3 linked regions of the Diceros bicornis minor genome follow. The protein of the gene in region 1 purifies or fractionates together with the protein of each later gene. This does not show direct contact. Links are inferred from orthologs where the notes say so. Each region holds a gene or a part of one and is shown in the gene's direction. Other genes may lie near its edges.

Region 1 (7,056 bases):
TTCTTCACATGAAGGTTACACATCTCCACTCCACTGGCCTGTGGCTTGCCACAGACTCACTTTGGGCAAAGGAGTGACAGTGACATGCCCCACTTCTAAGTATAAAATTTACCAGGAGCCACTGGGTGATTCTCCCCACTTTCCCTTTCCCCTCCTCTCACAAGACCAGCAATATTGCACATAGTGGCGGCTCCTTTGGCCTGAGTCCCCAGTTAAGATACTGTAGAGTAGGGCCACAAATGGCCTGCAAAGGACACAGTGTGAGCAAGAAATAACCCTTTGTTGTAATAAGCCACTGAGATTTTGTGTTTGTTGCTGCACATAACTTAACCATGCTGATTCCTACAGACCCCACAGTTTGTTTAAGCCACTGTTATTTAGGGATTTTGTTACTGCCAGCCAGGTGCAATTCGTAACTGACACGCCCTCCATTAGAGATGACTGTCATTTGTCCCTGAAAGGGCCTGAAACAGAACGAATGAATGTTTCCTCTGGCTGCCGGGGAAGGCTTTCAAGGTATTTCCCGGCAGCCAGTTCCCTCGATATGTTTCACCTTGTTCCTACCTAGTATCCATGCCCTCCCCTCAATCTCCTTTGGAAAGTGCTCCTCACCCAATTCTTAGCTCAGTGGCTTCTAGAAGACTGACTCAGGGGCGGGCCTTGAGGGGAGAATGGACTAGCCTGTGTGAGGAACAGCCTGGCAGCCACTGGTGGGATTTCAACAACACAGACATGAAATGATTTTTATCAAGTCATCTGGCCGCTATGCACAGTTGTCACTGTTCTCCTCATTATTATATGTGAAGCACTTAGAACAGTGCCTGCTATACAGTGAGTGCTCTCTAAGTTATTATTATTACTGTTGTTGTAAGAGAGGCAGGGGTGGAGGCAGGGAGACCAGCAAGCAGCTGTCAGTGTCTCATTAAGAGATGACAGCGGGGCCGGCCCCGTGGCTTAGCGGTTAAGTGCGTGCGCTCCGCTACTGGCGGCCCGGGTTCGGATCCCAGGCGCGCACCGATGCACTGCTTCTCCGGCCATGCTGAGGCAGCGTCCCACATACAGCAACTAGAAGGATGTGCAACTATGACATACAACTATCTACTGGGGCTTTGGGGAAAAAAAAGTAGGAGGATTGGCAATAGATGTTAGCTCAGGGCTGGTCTTCCTCATCAAAAAAAAGAGGAGGATTAGCATGGATGTTAGCTCAGGGCTGATCTTCCTCACACACACAAAAAGAGATGACAGCAGCTTGGACTACAATGTGACAACAAAGGTGATGAGAAGTGGTCAGACTGAATTTTTTTCTTTTTCTTATTTCCTAATAGTTTAGTTAGGATTTTTCCCATTTGCATTTATAATTGTAGTACCAAGCTATTAGGGGTTTTGTTGTGATTGTTCCAGGATGGGCATGTGTTTGGAAGGTAGAGTCAAAGGACGGGTTAATGGGCCAGTTTGGGGGCAGTGGTGCTGAAGAAGAGGAAGGACCAGGGGTGACTCCCAGGTTGTGTATTCAGTCCCTTGATGTCTGACCCCTCACCTATCCATGAGCTCTGTCAGGGCCAGAACAAGAGCTGTCAGGGTCCTCTGTGTCCAGCAGGGGCTTGCTTACTCCAGGAGACACTCAGAGTTGCTGAATTAATAAATGGTGCCAGAGGGATATATTTTAAAAAGCACGTCTGGACACACTGATTTCAGCTTAAAGACTCCTCTGCTCTCCTCCTGCCCACACCAGGGTCTCTTGGGATGGCTGGAACATGGACGGCTGGTTTCCTGAGGAGCCCATCTGAAATCCATTCACTGAATTCGTCCAACAAATATTTACTGAGTGCCCACTATGTGCCAGACACTGTTCCAGGTGCTGGGGACACAACACAGAACAAGACAGATAAAAATCCCTGCCTTCCTGGAGCTGACATTCTAGTCGGGGAGACAATAAAGGAATACATCAAATACGTGGTATGCCAGAGAGTGATGAGTGTTAGAGGGAGTAATAAAGCAGGAAGCAAATAGGGAGACTATGTATCTATCTGGGAGAAGGTGATCATTTTACACGGAGTGGTGGTCACAAAAGGAAGAACTTTCCAGGCAGAGGGAACAGCACAGGCAAAGGCCCTGGGCCACAGTGTGCCTGGCATGGTAGAGGAACATGGAGTAAGCCAGTGTCACTGGAGCAGAGTAAGGGGCAGGAGGGAGGAGATGACGTCATACAGATATTGGGCAGCCAGCTCCCGTAGGGCTCTGTAGATCTGCTTTCTGCCTGCTCGAGCTTCACCTTCTTGTCTTTTACAGAGTGAGGTGGGAGCCAGGGGAGGGATCTGAGCAGAGGAGGGCCCTGATCTGACTCAGGGGTTCACAGGTTCCCTGTAACTGCGTGTTGAGAACAGACTGTGGGAGCAGGTTGACCAATGTAGAGGCTATTAAAATAGTGCAGTGGGGGGGAGGGGTGATAATGGCCAGGACCAGGGTAGGGGCAGAGAATGGGGTTAGAAGTGGTCAATTCTGGATAGATTTTAAAGGGAGAGCCAACAGGATTTGCTGATGGACTGGTTGAGGAATGTGTCCTGCTCCAGTTAGACTAACAAACCTGTAGTCCAACAAAGTCAGGTTTCTTTACCATGGCAAGGAGGGAGACTGCACACCAGAGGTACTGTGGGGAGTCTCATCAAAGGAACAGATAAGAGTTATTATCTGGGTTTGGGGGAAGGCTGAAGTTTAGGTGAAATGCAAATGAAACAGTGTTGGGATAGGCTCAAAGCAAAGCAGAACTGTGGGTAAATGGATCCATACCAGGTCTGGATTGTGAAGCGGGCCCAGGGTCCTGTCTCCTTGGAAGCAATAGAGTTTAGACACATGTGGACTACTCTGTCCTGAAACCCCTTACTGGAAACTCTGCACCTGGATTATAAATCGAGGCCGCTTCTTTGTGTCAAAGTGACTTAACTCCTCCAGGCGTTAAGTGAGATGTTTTATGGTTACTGATATAATTTCAAACAGCAAAGTTTGTGATCATCTATGATTTCAGAGAACAAAGTTTCCTAGTGAGTAAGAAAGCAGCAGTCACTCAAAGAAGAGTTGTGTCACTTTACATCTGCAGCATGTCCTTGAGCAAAATATAGAAATACTTTTTCCTATTAACTCTTCAGCTGGCTTTCTGTGTCTGCTATACCAGCCAAATAAATGAGAAGGAAGATTTTTTTTTTTACTGTTCAAGCTAAGATTTTTAGTTTCTCAAGTGTAAGGAAAGAGGAGAGGTAAGGATGACGCTAAGGATCTCAAGCCTGAACAACAGGAAGGATTGAAAGCTATTAACTAAGATAGGAAAGGCTGTGGGGGAGACAAGAGCAGGAGGTCAGTTTCAGATGTTTTGAGTTTGAGATGCCTCAAATTCGTGGAGATGGCGAGTGGGCGGCTGCAGGCTCTTATAGAGCTCGGACTAACCTCACTTCTCCCTACGCAGCCCTCCTCTCATTCCGTTCGCCCCGTTCACTACCTGTAGTTAATCGTCTACCCCTGCTGTCACACATCTGCACCTTCGTACGTGAGGTGTGTGCTGGTGAAATGCTGGGAATACTGTCTCTTCACCTTGCTAACTCACACTCGCGGGCTGGACCGGCTGAACAACACAGCGGCACTCATCCTCGGGCCCCGCCCCCACAGGGCCCCGCCCCCTGCAAGCCCCGCCCCGCGCTTGCGCTCACTTGTAGAAGCTCACCGGGCGGTTGTCCGCGCCCAGTCGGCCCGCAGTGTTGGAACAGTTCGGAGCCCGGCAGTACTTGGGCATGGCTGTCCTGCCCCGCTGAGTTTGGCCCGATCTGCAGCGCACTTTGGTCCTCGCCGGACGCCGCCGAACCCCGCCCCGCCCGCGCTCTCACCGCCTACCTCACGTGACGTCCCTTGGTGCTTGGTCACGTGCTGGGGAGGGAAGAGAGCGCCTGCGTACTACGCGCCCTTCCGCGTTACCACAGCTACGCCCTCGTCATGTGGCGAATGGGGAAGAGCGAGTGCGTCTGAGCAAAGCCCCATTTCAGCCACCCTGACCTTATCGCGCGTTGGGGGAGTGGAGGAGTCACGGCGTTTCTGAGTCTGCGCCAACTCATCAGTCTTTTTCGGCTCCACCCCACGCTTACATCCGGGCGACTGCTGTTGGGCGGATAGTCGTCTTGGTGGGTGAGGGTCGTGCAGCAGCAAAAATCGAGGTGCGGAGGCTTTGGCCTTCGCCTCGTGATAGTTAAAACCTGTGTGTTTCAGTGAATGGTGAAAACACAGACTGGATAAAAAAGCCACGACTTTTGATCGAGCATCAGGCAGACTAGCTGTGGCTCCACCCGATCAGACTCTCCGCCCCGCCTCTTAGCCCTCATTGGTCAAAAGCGGCGCTCGGCGGCCCTGCGATTGGCCAGACCGGCGGCCTGCCGCGTCCAATGGGCGGCGGCGCCGGCTTTCCCGCGGCTGTTCGCTATTCAAGTGGGTTGTGGAGGCGGCGGCGGCGGTTGAGGAGTGAAACGGTCGCCCGCCTCCGGCGCGACGATGGCAGCCTTGGGACCCGGAGGCTACGCGCGGAACGATGCAGTCGAGAAGCTGCCATCCGTCAATGCGGGAGTTTCGGCGCGGAGGGGCCAGTCCTCCCCGCCCCCCGCTCCACCGCTCTGCCTCCGGCGGCGGACGCGACCTTTGGCGGCGCCCGAGGACACGGTGCAGAACCGGGTGAGGTGCTGTTTGCCCTGCCCACCCATTTCGTGGCTACCTGGGCCTCCCTGGTCCCGCCCTCAGATCTTTGGCCCCGTCTATCAGCCTCGGCTAGTCCCCTTGGCTGCTCTCTGGCCCCGCCCCGTCTCCTAGGTCCCGCCCCTTTAGCCAGGGCTCCTCCCACCGTCCCGTGCCCTCTCTCGGGTACTGCCTATCGTTCCTAGCCCACTTCTAAACCCCTGGCCCCACGGCACCCTTGGCACGTTGCTGGGTTCCTCCCTGGTCCCATCCCTCGGAGTGCTTTTTAGGTCTGATCACCTCCTAGTCCCGCCTTTCTGCATATCCCTTTAGTCGCCTTTAGACGTGTCTCTGGACCCTTCCACTGTGGTTGACCTCGCCCCTCGCCGGGTGTTTAGGGTCCCTACTGAGGTTCAGTCCCAAGTCCTACCTGCTTCAACTCTCCCTCAGCTCTACTCCTCCTTCCCTCACCCCTGCCTTCTGTTTCCTTCTTCCTTACCACGGTGGGATTCTTATTCCATATTGCCACCCTAAGTTATGGAGAGGATGTGAATACCATGAGTAAAATCTCAGCATCGCTGCCGGGGGGAGGGCATACAGAACAGTTTCCTAAGTCCTGAGACACAAACAAAGGAGATTTTAGAGTAGGTAGAAGGAATTCGATTAGCACAGCGCAATTTTTAAAAAAGTGTTCTCCAACTCCTTGAGCCACAAAGTCTGTTTGTGTAAAATGGAGATAACAATAACCATACCGTGGAGTTGTAGAGAGGTGAAATGAAGTTGTGAATATGACCTGCTTGGCACAGTGTCCAGATGAAACGTAGCTGCTGGTGGATCTTGTTCCTGCTCCTTGATTTCCTGCTGCACTCTGATTATATCACCCACTCCTTGCAAGGCCCTGGGCAAGTGGCCCCTGCCCACCTCTCTGGCTGTACCTGCCTTGTCCTCTCTCTCACGAAGATTCAGTCACACTGGCCTGCTTTCTGTTTTCCGGAGGCTCCAAGCTCTTTCCAGCCTCCTAACCTTTGTGTTTGGTGAGTTCTCTGGGCTTTTTGCGGCAATCTACCTGGCTGGCTCTTCATCACTCACGTCTCAGCGTGACTATCCCTACCCTGAGAGGCTTTCTTGAACCCCAGCCTAAAGCAGACACCCACCTTAATCTCTCACCCAGCGCCCTGAACTTCATAGCCCTCATCTTGTATGTTCCTGAAAGTGCCTTGTGAGCTCTAAACAATGTACAAAAGAGGAATAACCACAGCAGTTTCAGAGAGGCAGTACAGCAAGGTGGCTAACAGCATTGCCTCTGGACCCAGCCCACCAGGGCTTAAACCTTAATTCTGTTCTTTCTGTTAGGAACTTTTCTGTGCCTCCATTTCCTCATCTGTAAAATGAGGATAGTAGTATAAATATTCCCTTATAGGGTATTTTTGAGGATTAAGTGAGCTCACCTGTCTTAAGCACTTAGAACAATACCTGGCACATTGCAAGTACTCTGTTAGTGCCAGCTGTGACTGTTATTATTAAAATACAGCTGTGACTATGTATTTTGGATAATTGATATCATTTTTTATTTTTCTTGCTTGGCTGGACAGAGTCCATCTGGCTTGCAAAAGACCTAGTCTAAAAATGACCAGTTAGGGCCGGCCCGGTGGCTTAGCGGTTAAGTGCATGCGCTCTGCTGCTGGCGGCCGGGGTTCGGATCCCGGGCGTGCACCGACGCACCGCTTCTCCGGCCATGCTGAGGCCGCGTCCCACATACAGCAACTAGAAGGATGTGCAGCTATGACATACAACTATCTGCTGGGGCTTTGGGGGAAAAAATAAATACATAAAATCTTTAAAAATTACCAGTTATACTAATCCTCAGTAATGCTGATTGACAAATAAGACCCACGTAAGTGCCATTGCTTGGGTGCCTGTTTAGAGTCCTGCTGCTGCTCCTTCCTGGATGGGTCACCCCTCTGGGCCTCTGTTTCCTCGTCTGTAAGATAGAGATGATGATGACAGTAGTGACATCACAGGGTTAGTGTGAGCATTAATAAGTTAACACAGTTATAGGTATTGGAACAGGGCCTGGCTCCTTGTAAATGCTCAGTGAACATTAGCTATTAGTATCCTGTTTGCCTTTCATTTCTCTATTTTTTTTTTGTGAGGAAGATTAGCCCTGTGCTTACATCTGCCAGTCCTCCTCTTTTTGCTGAGGAAGACTGGCCCTGGGCTAACATCCGTGCCCCTCTTCCTCTATTTTATGTAGGACGCCACCACAGCATGGCCTGAGAAGCAGTGCATTGGTGCGCGCCCGAGATCCGAACCCGGGCCGGCCGCCAGCGGCAGAGCGCGCACACTTAACCG
Region 2 (7,908 bases), on another chromosome or scaffold:
TTGGAATGTTCTTAGAGAAAGCAGAAACTTTTGGCCAGTTTGGCCACAAGCCTCACCATTCTCTAGTGTCTTCCACTGACTCCATCACACATTTTGTCATCTGCTTTGCTCCTAAAGGCAATAATTCTAGTCCAAACTTTTCATTTTACAGATGAGGAAGCAAGAATCCAAGAAGAGTTCATTAACTTGCATAAGGTAACACAGATGATTATCAGCAAAGCAACAGTAAGAGTACAGGGACCTGGCTTGTAGTTCCACATTCTCTTCTCTGACCCCATCACACTCTTCCACAAATTCAACCCAGAGCCTGAAACACCAAAATGTTGAAAGAAAAAGGGGGAGCCAGCATAGAAAATATATATAGAAAATAAATGAGATATTTATGTTACAGTACAAGTTTGTTCCATATTTCTTTATGCCCACCCAACCAAAGGCGGCTAGAACAGTGAGTTGTGTATACAGGTGTTGTTGATAAAACTGTATCCATATCTAACACTGTGGCAACAGACCAGACATGATCGTTATGAAGGCTGGGACACTGCACTTCTCACAAGTTCTCTCCCTCTTTCTAATACCACATCCCTACATTCAAGTGTACAAAACTTAAAACAGCCTGGGTGCCTGTTATTCTGGTTTCTCTGATCCTTTCTTGGCTATAAACTTGTTTATTTTATACCTAATGGCCTTATACAATGATGTGTTGAATTTAAATTAGAGGAGGGGTATTTGCTATTCTCCCTAGTTACCAATATAGTTCTCAGCCATTCTAGGCATCTTGAATTCCAGCTGCCTATAGAGTGAACGAACACCTAACTATACTGCCAGGAGACCTCCCAAGTCACTTCTGGTTCTAGAATAAATTCCGTGACTCCCAGGATACCTGGGATATGCTCACTTTTTACCACACTGGAAACTTTCAGATTATCTACTGTGTAGAAATAATATTACAGATCTGTGGGGCAATGACACCTTCTAGTTTTTCTGCCAGAACTCTTACTTTGAAGGGGAGTCATTAAACCTCTCCTATTTCTTGAAGTTGGGGGAACAGACAGCCCAAAGCAGGAGATATCCTTAGAGAGGACAAACAGTGAATATATCTGGAAAGTGTCAGGGAGAGGATGAGAGGAGAGTGTAGAGTCTGCAAACGGGCTCCCTATTTCCATGGCTGCTCTAGGGTCACCAGAGTCAAGGAGAGGCAAGGATTCCACTCAAGTCTTACAAGCAAGAAAGCAACTTTGACTTTGCTTTTCATATCAGAACTTCAAATTCTTAATATACTATAACTGTACCAAAAATTATACTTAAAGAAATGAGGTAAAGTTGTAAAAATTGAGGGACTATTATGGAAAATTGTGAAAGCATTTTGCATTTTTCTATGGCTACTTCCTGGCTGAATATAACTGAAGGGATACTAGTAATGATTATGTGTACAGTTATTTAGAAACCAGAGGATTACCTGGTGAGGAAAGACCAAGAATGCCTATAGCCTTTCTCTAAGCATGAACTAGGCAAGACATTTTGGGGAAGAAATGGCAGATAGAGAAAACCAAACCAACAAAGCCAAAATAAAACAAGACAAAAGAACTTTAAATTGCATGTTACCCGATTGTATAGTAACATAATTCTCAAGTTATTCGGCAAAAACATTTAAAATAATGAAGTTCTACATGTAAAATAATGCCACCATACTTTGTTTATTCAGAAACACAAATTTGACTTTAAAGGGAGCTATCCTATTTAGAAGTGGTAATTTATATGTGTGAAACGAAGAACTTCTAATCGTGCTTTGCTTCAGGATTAGTTCTGTTTTGTTTCCTTCCATAAGCTGCTATATAAACTAAATAAACATAAAAATTAAAATGCTACTAAATAATTTAAAAAGTCCTAAAAACTCATGAAAAATTTCAGGTTCCATCTCTTGATTCATTGTTAAAACTATCAGTAAAAATTAAAAAAAAAGTTTTTTTAACTTATTTCTCTGCTTTATGTTTGTTCTTGATTATAAATGTTTTCACTATCTTATACTGTTATCACACTAAATTTAAAATTTATTTTAAAATGTATTATCCTTGAATGAAAACCCTTCACTCTATAATTGAAAGCAGTATCATGGGTATTAAACACAGTACTATAACATTAGTTTGAAATTAGCCACTTTACCGCATCCAAATGCTTAATATTGGGGCCAGCCTAGTGGCATAGTAGTTAAGTCCGCGCGCTCTGCTTCAGCAGCCTGGGGTTAGCAGGTTCAAACTCCAGGCGCACGGCTCATCAAGCCATGCTGTGGCGGGGTCCCACATACAAAACAGAGGAAGATGGGCACAGATGTTAGCTCAGGGCCAATCTTCCTCACCAAAACAACAAAACAAAACAAAACAAGCTTAATATTAAATAGCCTCTAATGCTTACATAAAGGTTCAAAATAAGGAATGCAAAGGAGAAGCATTAGGAGAAACTTATAACGGAAAACAAATATTTTTTTTACCAACCTCAAAAATTAAACAAAATCACTCATATTATCACTGTGCACAGTATTTTTCTTGCTTTCACATGAAAAGTTAGAAATGGTTATTTCTGTATCTAACAGCTCTTGAAACATCAGTAGGCTGATGAAGGTATTCATCAAGACCAATTATTTTACACTTGCAGTTTGAATACTGAGAATGTTGATAGTTTGTAACACTGCTGACAGATGGAAACAAGAAACAACAACCCTTAGAAAGTCTAGAGTCACTAGAAGATAAACTTCCCAATCTCCTTGAAAAATCTTCTCTTTGCTGCAAGTACCAATTATAAAGAGCAGCTAACATTTAATAAGTGCTTCTTACTTGCCAAGCACTAATCTCTACCCTTATTTTCTATCATAGTAATCTGTAATTATTTTATTTATTGTCTTTCTCCTCCACTAATCCAGAGGCTCCATGGGGACAGGGACTGTCTAGTTCCTTATTGTGTCTCCAGCACCTAGTATGCCTAACACACAGTAGGCACTGAATTAATAAAAGAATCAATGTTCTAAATGCTTTAAATAATTTTTTTAAATTGTTGGTCATGACCTAGAGGATTAATAAAATACCAAATAATAGAAAATAGAGTGTATTACACCTAGTACAATAAATATTCTTTAATAAAACTTTTCTTTTAGTTTATATGTACGTATATGTCCCATATAAAATGTATTTCTTACTTACGGGTAACAGCAAAAAAAAATTTTGACAATCACTGCTTTACGTGGATTATTTCATTTGCTCCTCACTATAACTCTGCAGACAATACTATAACTTTCACTTGAACAGAACTGAGGTTTCTAGATGTTATATATGACCTCCAAGAGGGCAGAGCTATCCACAAGTAGGAACATCACTTCTATAGATACTCACTCATAGGGTCCTATAATAAGAAAATCTGAATTAACTCAACAAGGTTTCAGTAATAGTAACTGTGACATTATTAATAAAGAAAAACAGGCTTTTGACACAGACAAGCCTGACTGAATTTAATACCTGGTTCTGCCACTAACCTGGTCTGTGTGGGCTTTGGCTTAACTTCTTTGTATCTCGATTTCCCTATGTGTAAAAGATGGATATTCCTAATGTTGTTGTAAGTTTTAAATGACTTAATATATGTAAACAGCCTAGACCCTAAATAGAAGGCGTTGTGATTTAAATAATAATTAATGGGTTTTTTTTTCCTGGTCTAACGAATCACATTCAGCCCACTACACCATAACTTGAATGCGTAAAAAGTGTGAATCGAGAATTTATTGGATTAGACAGCAAAATATGGGAACTGGGCAAAAGCAGCAGAGAGCCGTCCAAGAGTTTCTGCTGGCGCTGGTGAGAAGGATGCCCAAGGATGCCAAAATCAGAGTTGGGTCAGGTAATTAAGGGAGCCAAGGGGAACAACGCTGGTTAACGGTAAAAACAAACACCAACTATTTTATCTTCCTCCAAGATCACGGCAACATCCATCTTCTTCCTCCGCATCCTGGCTGGGGCCGAAGCCAGGTGTCAGGAGACGCGCCTGGTCAGCTCCCGCCCGCCAGGCCCTGGTCCCCAGGGGCTACGGCACAGAGGTTCGGAGCAACTCACCCCGGAGACTCCGCTGATACTGCCCCAGAACCTCCTCCAGGGGAGAGTGCTCCGGGGACTTCGCCATGACAGACTCGGGGCCCAGAGACGGGAGCTACGTGACGGAGCGTCCAGCGCTCTCCGCGAACAACAGGCCTCAGCGCTGGAGAAGCGCCCGCCGGCTTCCTGCCGCTGCTGACTGGGGAAGCATGGAACCAGACAGGAGCTCGCGGGGGCTCCTCCTACCCACTGGTCCTCATGGTGCACGTCGGGAGTTGTAGTCTGCAGGCTCCGGGCCTCAGGCTCCAAGCTCCTAAGAGCCCTTCTGACTACACTACAACTCCCAGAGGGGACCGCGCTCCAAGCGCTAGCTTTGCCCAGATCCGGTTGCCAAGAGACTGCGTGGAGGCTCCGCCCTTTTTCCGAAGCCCACCCTGGCTTAGTCCTGCCTTCTTCCCATCCTGTTGTTTGGACCACCCAACTGACAGAAAGGGCTCACTGAAGGCCTTGACTCCTCTAAATCTGCTAGCATGCAGTTGATCCTGGAGGCTCCTCAAGGACGCACATAACAAGCTCTGCACCCTTCAGCCGCGACATGTGCCAAAACGGCCAAATAAATTCTCAAGAAAGAAGCTCTAAATCTTCCATACAGCCTGACTGCGAAGGGGGCCGACACTACAAATCCTAGCATGCCCAGCCACCCGACTGCCCGCTGGGAACTGTAGTCCTTGCGGGTTGCGGTCCCAGCTAACGCGAGGGTCGGCTTCATTGTTCGAGCGGGTCTTTGGGGCACGCCTGCGCACTGGGCAGCTGGGCGAGCTGGTGGGTGAGACCCTCAGCACAACCCGCTTTCATTGTCTGGGTTTGGCGCCTGCGCAGTGAGAGATGGCCGGGACGGAGCCGGAGGAGGGGACGCGGCCGGGCTCCTCGCCCTTTCCCCAGGCGCCTGCGCACTAGGTGGCCGCTGTCTGCCGTTACCGCTAGGTGTGGGGCGTGTGTGGAATAACGTTACTGCACGGCGGGGCTGAGGGCCCGGGAGCTCGTCCGCGGCGGCGGCGGCGACGGGGTGGGGGACGACGGCGTGCGAGAGACTCGGGCGCGGCGCCCCGCCTCCCCGTCCGGTGCCGGTCCCCGCGCTGAGGGGTGAGTGATGCGCTCGGCGCCGGGGCCGCGTCTCCACATCCTCCGCCTCGGGGCGGCGGCGGGGCGCGGGCGCGAGGGCGCGGGGGGCTGGGCCGGGGGCTCCCGGACGCCGCGCGGCGCCCACCCCACCGCCGGGCCCGGCCGCGCCCCTCGCTCCCCGCCGGCCTCCGGGCCCGCCGCCGCCGCCCCCGGCTTTGTGCAGCGCCCCCCGCCGGGGACCGCGCTGTCCCGACGCTTTTTGTGCCGCTGGTCCGGGGCTGGGGGCGGCGGAGGACGCGGAGAGGGGTGTCCCGCACCCCGCGAGGGCTGCGGCCCCGTGGTGCCCCGGGGGGACGCGCCGCCCGGCGGCTGCATTGTCCTCGGAGCCCAGTGCGCGGTTTGGGTGTCTTCCCTTCGTCCTGTGCACGAGAACAAAACGCGAGCGGCTGCCCGAGGCGGGGCGGGAAGCCGTGGATTCGTGTCCCGAGTCATCGCGTCTCTGTTTCGGGGCCCTCCGCAGATTTGGAGAGTGTAAGCCCCTGGAAGACAGGGCCAGTGGCTGTCCGAGCACGGCCACGGTGGGCAGTGTAGCATGCCTAGATGACGACGCGGACGGGACTGGGAGGGCCTGGCGGCGGCGCTCCGTGGACCGGGGAGATGAACCAGCGCAATTGTTTTCTCCTGGGCTGGGTAGCGCGTTCCTGCTCCCGAGGGAATGGGTAGGATGCATCTTTCCGTTTTGCTTTTTGAGCAATCAGAACAAAACATAGGCCTGAATTTGTTGATTCGTATTTTCACTGTCTTCAGGAAAATTCACTCGTTTGGAAGGAACGTGGGGGAAGCAGAGGATACACTTGATTGAAAACGCATCTTTTAAAATGATTTGATCCTGAAGCGTACGATGCTTACAGCCATTTGCTGGCGTTGAAACAAGCAGAAGAGAGATTGAGGCGGGGTGGGGAGGAGCAGGGGAGGAGTGATGTGAGAGGAGTTACGTGGTGAATACTACGGGATCTGGAGGTTCACTGATATAACCCTAGCTGGGCGTGCTTCTCGGATTTAGGAATTCAGCTCTGTAAATGTGACATTGCAAGAGACAAGCCATTTTGTGTTTTTCTGCCGTTATTTTTTTAAAAAGTAAAACCAGGGCTGCTTTTAGTTCTTCCTGACTTGATAGAAACTGTAGCATTTTGGTGTTTTAAAACGGAAGAGTCTAAATGCGCTTGACAGAGACAGAGGAAGACACTTAAAACTTGGAAAAGTGAACTGACTTGTCTGTCCAAGCCGTAGTGCTGGGGAAAGGCAGAGCCAAGTGAAACCAAGGTCTGTTCTGCAGGGTGATCTTTCAGCTGTGTCCCCCGGCCCTATCTATGAAAATTTATGCAAAGCTCTGCAGGCTGTCTGAGTTGTTTGTGACAGTCAAGTGCACTGATGCCCCTGGTTGTATCAATCTAGTCCTTCGTGATGTAAAAATAGTAATTCTACTGAAGTGGAACTTTAGTTTTATAAAGTAACTTACTGATATAGGGAAAGATGCCCTAACATGGGCTTTTCATAAAAACAGCAACTGTTGGAGTTGTTTCCCTGCTACTTATTAGTAACCATATTTTAATTTTATTTCCTGATATGCAGCAGTATTTTATGATATGATCAACTCTATAAACTCTGTTACGAATAAAATTGCCACATAACAAGAACCTGTGAAGTTCATTTTTCTTTGATTAATGAATTATATTATTTTCAACTTAAACAAGAATTGACCTTTTGAGAAAAAAATTCATGTTGAACTTTTTATCAGAATTAAATTTGCACTTTTTTATTGAGTTGATTTTGCCATAAAGGACTTCTTTGTTGTCATGTAATTTTTATCCTTTAATTCTACATTGCTTTTTAAGAGCCTTCTTAAAAATAATTCATTAATCTTTCTCTTAAATTTCAACTTAAAATAATCTGTAATTAAATTCAGGGTCTGATATTATATTAAATCAAACTTTAAATGTATTTTACTGGTAATTTCATGGGGTTCTAAAATTACTTTGTATAGCAACAAATAACCATCTGCATATTTTCTATCTTAGCATTAGAATAGTGAAATTTACACTGTAAAATTATCATACATTATGCATATTGATGCAGATATCACGGTGCTTTAAAAAATTCTATGCTTAGTGATTTGTTTTATTTGTTCCAAGTATCAGTTTCTTGTTTCCTTTTATCACTGAAAAAAAAACCACTGGTTTCATTGTTGCATCTGATAGTAATCAGATATCACTCATCTAGTACTGAATACTGTATATATTTAAACTTGTTGTCAACATGTTTTTTTCCAACAAAACTCTACTTCTGAAAAATAATTTTTGCTATTTTAATTTTAACAGAGTGATGCTAAATTGCCAACTAAAATATTTGTACAGTTGCAAATTATTCTGGAAGTGTAACAAAAGAGCGGTTACATGCCATCTGAAAAATCCTTGGTGGATGGATAATATTGGCTGGAGCATTAAATGTTGATGTGTTTTAAGAAATGGGTGTCCTCTTATGGGGAGAAATCTCAGACCATCTTTATTTCATAAACATTGGGTAATAACCAAGATTTCTAATAATCAGCTACCCTTGGTGAAATGAGTTTTGATTTATTTACTCAAATATTTGTTGAGAGATGTGCTTAGCAGTGAGTTAGCCAGTGTGGGCGATACCAAAGAATAAGAACACATCT
Region 3 (7,213 bases), on another chromosome or scaffold:
GATGCTGATGTTGTTGTTCTGGGGACCACAATTTGAGAACCACCGTCTTAGAAGAATAAATGCTGACCATTTTTTTCATGAGAACATGCGTGTGTACTCAATCTATAGGCTTGAATAGCTGGGTTGTCTCTCTTCATGCACCTAGAAGCGATGTGTGCATAGGAGAGCGAAGGAAAGGAGGAAGCCCAAGCAAAGAGGGGGGTACTACTTGTAAATTCAAATTAGTGTACCACCCACCTCTCTCTCTACTTTGTTTTGTTCAAGTTGTGACTGAGGAACTCTGGTCATTTTTGGTCATGTTCTACCCCTGAGGAAATGTCATAGTTCTTGCAGTTGGAGACATCAGTTTGCAATATGAACACTCATCTTTCCTCTACTCATGCAACCAGAGCCTGAGCCACTCCCTCTGGAGCCCACAGGCTCTACCCTGAAAGAGCCTCAAAGAGCATCCTAGAGTCAGGGAGTGACTGACTGAGTTTCTGAACCTCTTCTTCCTATGGTGGGAGGGGTGACTTGACCAGGGGCCTGGTTGGGAAACCAAACTGGGTGGCTTGAAAGCGAGGCTAAAGAAGAAGGGCTCTGGCGGAGATGGGGTCAGGAGAGAGGGTGTGTCTTCGGAGATGCCCTTCTGCAGGCCTTACAGTAAGCCCCCTCTCCCTGACTCCCCACACCTGGAGTGTGAGGTCAGGGAATTAGGAAGTGAGATCAAGTCTCAACTTTCGGTTTCTGTACCCTTGAACAGCTTGGTGAGGTCCAACTGACACCTTAGCCAAAGGCCCAACCCCAAAGCAAACCAGTGTGTGTATGTGGTCTGGGGAGGATGACAAGGAAAGAGGTACTCTGGACAGGGTGCAAGCTCTTCCTCACCATTTCTCAGGGTTCCAGCAGAGACTGGATTTAAGGGGCCTGCAGCCTCCCTTTCTCTCTTTCCCCCATCCCAGCCTCAGAGAGACCCAAGGACCAGCTGTCCCCAAGACAACTCCCCTGGGACAAGAGGCAATAAACCTGAATTCCTTAGCTCTTCCTCCTTTTCTGAGTCAGCCCCCAATAGGTTCACAGGGAACCACGATAGGGTAACAAGCAAAACGCTGTGAGAAGGAAGAAGGAGGCCCTGAGCCACATCTGGGTTACAAAAAACATTTTGAATTTGTAGAATATCAGAGATGATTACATTCAATCACAAATAGTGAAATGCTGTCTGAAATCACACACACGCATATGTACATATTTAAACACACGGGATGTCCCTTCCAGGTATAGATCATTGGAAGCTGACAGCGGTAAACTGAAGCTAATAAATCAGAAGTTCTTCCTGTTGAATGAAAGAGAGGCTGTTGATAGTATTACAGACCTGGGCAGGAAACTCTGGAGCTCTGTTCTGGCAACACCTCTTATTTTACAACAGCTCTGAGCATATCGTCTTTTGTTACCTCCAGGTCTTTAATTTGCCTGGTGGGGACTGGGAGGTACCTGCCAATACTTCCACCTGTGTGCCCAATCACACCCCCACCCCGCTCTCCCAGGAAACTTACACTCATGTTTATTCCTTCTATTCTACCTCTCCCTCTCAACAGTCTTCCTACCAGATGTAAAATAGGCTTGTCTCTTTCTTCGCTGCCTGACTCCTAGTTATCCACCACCTCCATTTTCTCATCTCTTGTTTATTCCTCAGCCCACTCTAATTCACTTCTGGCTTTAACTACTCCAGGATTTCAAGCTTCCTCTTATATTTGATATTATTGATCACTCCTTTCTTCTTGAATCCCTGTTTCCTTCTACCTCCCTGGCAGGTCATTGGCAGGCTCATCCTCTTCATGGCCATTTAATGCTGAAGTTCCTCAAGCTTGGTTCCTGGCTGTCTTCTGTTCTTGCCCACTACCCTCTTTCCCTCAGGCCTAGGCTAACTCATCCATACCCAAGACTTCAAGTCATCATTATCTGTCGATGATTCATCTCTTATCTACCTGAGCCCAGCTCTGTATCTCTAAATGCCAACTTGGCATCTCTTTTGGGCAGATCAAAAGCCTTCAAACTACCTGCTCTCACCATCTTTCCACTCAAGCTTTGTCCTCCTCCAAGATTCCCATCTCTGAACCAGCACCAACATCTATCCTTGGCCGCAAGCCAGAAACCTGTGAGCTTTCCTTGATATCTCTCTTTCCTTCACTGCCCACATAGCCCATCATCAACTTCTGTGCTTTGGATCTCCTAAATGGTCTTCAGATCTTTCCTCTTACTGTTTTCATGACTATTACCATAGACCAAACCTCTACCATCTGTTATCTAGACTACTACATCCACCTGGCCTCCTGCCAATATGGAATCTTCAAGATGCCATTCTGACCATGCCACCCCCTTTGCTGAAGCATGTCAGGGTCTTCCCATTGCACTTAGGATAAAGACAAGATTTTCAACATGGGTAGTATGGCTGCACTAGGTTTGGTCCCTTTCCAGTCTTCCCAACTTCATCTCATAGCTCCTTCTTCCTTGATCTTCCAGCAGCACTGGCTTTTCCTCAATTTCTCCAACTCACCCTGCTCCCTCTCACCACAAGACCCTTGCCCACTAAGTTACTTCTGTCTGAAATATTTTCTGCCTAGTTAAATCTATTCTCAGTTCAAGAGGCAGTTCCTCAAGAAAGCCTTTCCTGGCTTTATTAATTCTATCAATTGGTTTCATAATACTGTGTAGCCATATCAATTTGTATTATAATGAGGTGATCACTTTGCATTTGTTTACTGTTACTATTTCCAAATTAAAGTGATTAAGTCTGTAAGCTTCATCATATTATTATCAGTGCTAGCACAGTGCCTGGCACAGAATGCATGCAATAAATACTTATTGGAGAAATAAAGGAAGGAAGGAAGGAAATAAAGAAGCCTGAGAGGGAGGGAGGGAATGAGGAGAGAATGAATGAATGAATGCTCACATTTGCGTTCCATTTCAGAATGACTGGAAATAGGCCAACCCAACATGACATGGGAAGATAGTCTACCTGAATTCACTCATTTATTCAATAAATATTTATTGATTCATTATTAAAGTAATGTACATTTTTCTGATTATGAACATAACTGTTCCATTTGGAACCCATGGAAAAATACCCAAAGGATAAAAGAGAACCAATTTACGTTTCATTCCACAGTCTAATGATGAACTATGGTTAAAATAATTTGGCATATTTCTTTCCAGGTTTTTTCTATGTATATATAGTATATAAGTAGGATCATTCTCTCTATATATAGACTTGCTTCTTTTTCTTAATGATGTATTATGAACATTTTCTCTTGTTGTTAAGAATTCCTCCAACACATGGCATTTAAATAGCTAAAATGTATTCTATTGCCAAGATGTATGTAGTTTAGACACCCTTCCACTCATTGCTGGATATTTAAGGGCTTGCCAATGTGTCACTTCTATAACAACATCTACACGCTTTGTGGGGTCCAGAAATAGCGTAATGCATGGAATCTGGTAGGAGGTGGATTTTGGGAAAACAAGAGGCAGCTTTTTCCAGCTGGTTGAAGGGAACATTTATTTGCTTGTGGGTTGCACCAGAGGTGGATTTTGGGAAAACAAGAGGCAGCTTTTTCCAGCTGGTTGAAGGGAACATTTATTTGCTTGTGGGTTGCTGGGCCCTGCGCAGGTGTCTTCGGAATGCACCACACTGTTGGTCAAGGTAATGAGCTCTTCGTCCCTCAGGTGTGCGCCCGGGGCCGGGAAGTCTGCTCCTCCGAGCAAGTTTGGTCTAAGCGCACCTCACCTGCAAACCCCGGGGCGAGGAGCCCCTGAGGTATTGGCTCCTACTAGCGGACCGCCCCGGGCCAGCCGCCGGGCACTCTGGCCACGCGCCGCCACGTGCCGGGAGCAGGGCGCCGCCCCCTCCGGCTCCCCGCCACGCCCCTCACACGCCGCCCTCAGAGGCTCTCTCCGCAGCTCCGCCTCCGGGCGACCTCCGCCAGTCCTCCCGGCCCCCAGAGTAGCCCCGCCCCGCAATCCGGGCCCCGGGGCCGCCCCGCCCGGCGGGCCGCTCGCGAGGCGTGGGGGCGGCGCCCTGCGCGATGACGTGGGCGGGCGTGCGCGGTGACGGCCCGCGTCCCTGTTACTCAGCGGAGCGGCCGAGGCCGGACGACGCGGCCCGGATCGCGGAGCGGCCAGCGGCGCTGGGTAACGGCCGCGGCGACCGCCCGGACGGCGCCGGTGCCCGCCGGCGGGCTCTCCTGTCGCCGTTCGCTGCGCTGCCTGGTGAGTGCGGCGGCCGTCGTAGGGCCTTGGCGGCCCGCGGCCCCGCCGTGTTTATGTTATTGTGCCGCGGCTGCCGCCTTCTCCCCAGCGGTGCCCCCCTCCCGTGGTGGGGGCGGGAGCGCGCGGGGCGGGGGGCGCGCGGGGCGGGGGCGGCGCGCGAACAATAGCGGCCCGGGAGGCGGCAGCCGGCGGGGGGCGTGGGGCTGCGGGACCCTGGCCCGCCGCGCAGCTCCGCCCGCCGGTCCTCGCGCGCCCTGCTTGTGCGGGTCCCGCGCCCGCGTCGGGAGGCGAGAAGGGAGCGGGGGTGGGTGGCAAGTTCGGAAGTACTTCGGCGGAGGCGCCGGGGCGTCCCGCCGCGCCCTAGTGCCTCCCGCGGCGGTGGCCCGGTCCCGGCGCCCACGGGGACCGTGTTTTGTTTCCCGGTGGTTTCTTTGTGCTGACGTTCTGAGCGAACGTAGCAGCGGCGCGGAACAAGGTTGGGGTGGCCTTCAGCTCTGGGCTGCGAGGGAGAGCGGGGCCTGGGGCTGGGGCGAAGGGTGGCCGTCAAGCTCGGCGCGAGCTTCAGTGGTCAGCGGGCGTTTCTCTGGACGGTCGCTCGGTGGTGACCTTTTGACTTTTTCACCCCACCCTCCGACCTCTTTGTCTTGCATTTGTGTTCCCAATCCTTAGGTGGTAGAACCAAGTCCGTTTTAAAGTATTGCGATGAACACTTTTAATTTTAATTTCTGCAAGTTCTCTATCAGATGTTTACTGTGAACTTGGTAACATGTTGACTGCGTGGTATCAGACGATGTTCGGTGGTTACTGTTTTTACCTCTGAAATTCAGTAATCGTTACAGTAGAATTCTGGTGTGTCAGTCCATTGTGTTTTGAGATGAGCATCCAGCAAATACCTCCTCGGCAATTAGAACATCATTTCATTCATTCATTCAGCAACTGTTCAGTACGTACTGTACTCAGATGGAGAGTTTGAAGATAAAAAGAAATATCCTTTAGTGGAAGAGGATGCTTTGACTGAAATATAATAGATGTGCCTTTAAATGAGACGGTTATGTAAGTGATGTGTGTTAAAAAAGGTATAGTTATACTCTGGGTCATTTTAGTATTTTTTAGTAGTACATCTGGAACTTATAGTGTAATGTTATATTAGGAAGTAGAGTTAGATTTGGTCTAAATGTACAACAGCTTTTATTTATTTGCGAATTTAATTTTTCAGTCTTACAGCCTTACAGTGATTTGTAACGTTTACCTCAGATTCCCCTGCTGTGGGTTAAGCCTAGGAGGTCAGATGCTGTAAGTGAACATGTTTAGTGCTGTGCCTGACAAAAGCAAGCCATCAAAATGGGACTTCCTTGAGGACAGGCCTGTCTTGCGTCTGTGTCTCCTCCAGCACCTAGCCTGGATATGTAGTAAGTGTTCAATAAAAGTCAGGTTAATGTAAAGCTCTTTACAACTGATAGTATTTCAAATCAAGCCTTAAAAAAAAGTTTAACGTTCTCTGTAAAGTTTTGGAAGCCTTGTGCAAACTGTTACTTCCAGATGGCTAAATGATCAGTTCATATGTATTATCTGTCACGACAGTAGGGGCTTTTGAATCATTTCAGTATCAATTTTTTTTTTTTCTATTCTATACTTTTAAATCCTAAAATAAAACCTTGTCTAAAAAATTTTTTTAATATGTGTGTATCTGTGTGCGATGTATATATAGCATTCATATACATATATATCTTGCACACAGACACACAGTGATATTTCAGTAGGGGTCTAAAATGATTGCATTTATCCTTTTGTGAATATTAATTGAAAAGTTTCTGATGACTCCTGTATTTTAAGTGGAAAAGCTAGAACAAAGGAAACAAGTTGCATAAAAGTTTTATTAGAAATGTTTAATTTCTAATAACATTTTAGAAATGTTTGTTGGTAATGTTTAATTTTAAATTCTTCATTGTACTAATACTATTGATGAAGCATACCATTGATGAAGCATATGGGCCTAAAACTCAAAATAATTGATTTATTTAATAAATAATAATAAATAATAACTTGATTTATCCAAGTTACATCTCTTTTCTACTCACTACTTAATGAATTTTGACATGTGTTTTGGAGAATTTCAGGTGAGCTCTTTGTTATCTGATGTAGAGTACAAATAAATAAGAAAATGATATTTTATTGAAATAAGGGATGAAAATCTTGAGATACCAAACTGTTATTGCTTTACCTGGTTAATTAAGGTATGTCAGGTTCCAGTAGGAGTTACTGATACAAGTCCTTTGGCAGTAGCTCACTGTCAGGCTACATGTCAAGCCAGAGTTTTTGTTTTGTTTTCTAAATTCTGTTGGTTTTTGAAAATAACAGCTTTATCGAGATGTAATTGATATACCATAAAATTTACTCTTTTAGTTGTGCATCAGTGGTTTTTAATATGTTCACAAAGGTATGCATTGATCACCATTTTCCAGAACGTTTTCATCACCCCAAGGAGAAGCCCTATACCCATTAGCGGTCACTCCCCATTCCACTCTAAATTATATTTAAAGGAAGAGATAGCACTGAGTCTCTTAGTAAGTACTATAGTATTCCGTTAATGAATTTGAAAAGGACTCCCTTTAAGTGTCCTGGCAGAGTAGGAAACTATGTCCTTCATACCACCTTACATCCTGGGAGAAAGGCCACTTGGAAAGGAAATTAGTTTAAGAATAAATTTTACCAAAATTAATGAGGTTGGAATCTTAACTATTTTCTCAATGTTTAATATTATGGAATTGACCTTGTGAAGATACTCAAGGCTCAGTGAAACTTCTTGAAGTAATTTGTTGTTAAGTATCTGGTCACCAGCTTTCCTAGTGGTTATTAAGAGGTTGTTGAATAGAAGCCTGACTCTTGTTGGTCTGCTTTGCCAGTGAGTTGAGTTTGACAAATTTGAGTCATCTAGATAGTTGAGATTCTTTGTTGCACGTGTGGAAGT

Evidence for each region.
Region 2: the proteins of WDR62 (region 1) and CEP170 purify together in Homo sapiens (affinity purification with mass spectrometry; 3 studies listed by BioGRID and IntAct, with this or other methods). This does not show direct contact. The link is inferred for Diceros bicornis minor from reciprocal best matches to the Homo sapiens genes WDR62 and CEP170.
Region 3: the proteins of WDR62 (region 1) and MAPK8 purify together in Homo sapiens (affinity purification with mass spectrometry; 5 studies listed by BioGRID and IntAct, counting the BioPlex papers as one, with this or other methods). This does not show direct contact. The link is inferred for Diceros bicornis minor from reciprocal best matches to the Homo sapiens genes WDR62 and MAPK8.

What each region holds. Positions count from the first base shown.
Region 1 is NC_080773.1:8,598,896-8,605,951, reverse strand, and holds the start of WDR62 (WD repeat-containing protein 62), read left to right. Parts: upstream 1-3,962; 5' UTR 3,963-4,527; coding exon 4,528-4,704; intron 4,705-7,056. Other genes in the region: THAP8 (THAP domain-containing protein 8), read right to left, coding at 3,699-3,781. UniProt on the Homo sapiens protein: Required for cerebral cortical development. Plays a role in neuronal proliferation and migration.
Region 2 is NC_080777.1:2,072,475-2,080,382, forward strand, and holds the start of CEP170 (centrosomal protein of 170 kDa), read left to right. Parts: upstream 1-4,805; 5' UTR 4,806-4,892; intron 4,893-4,969; exon of another isoform or gene 4,970-5,213; intron 5,214-5,736; exon of another isoform or gene 5,737-5,911; intron 5,912-7,908. Other genes in the region: SDCCAG8 (serologically defined colon cancer antigen 8), read right to left, coding at 4,092-4,158.
Region 3 is NC_080745.1:12,136,840-12,144,052, forward strand, and holds the start of MAPK8 (mitogen-activated protein kinase 8), read left to right. Parts: upstream 1-4,163; 5' UTR 4,164-4,245; intron 4,246-7,213. UniProt on the Homo sapiens protein: Serine/threonine-protein kinase involved in various processes such as cell proliferation, differentiation, migration, transformation and programmed cell death.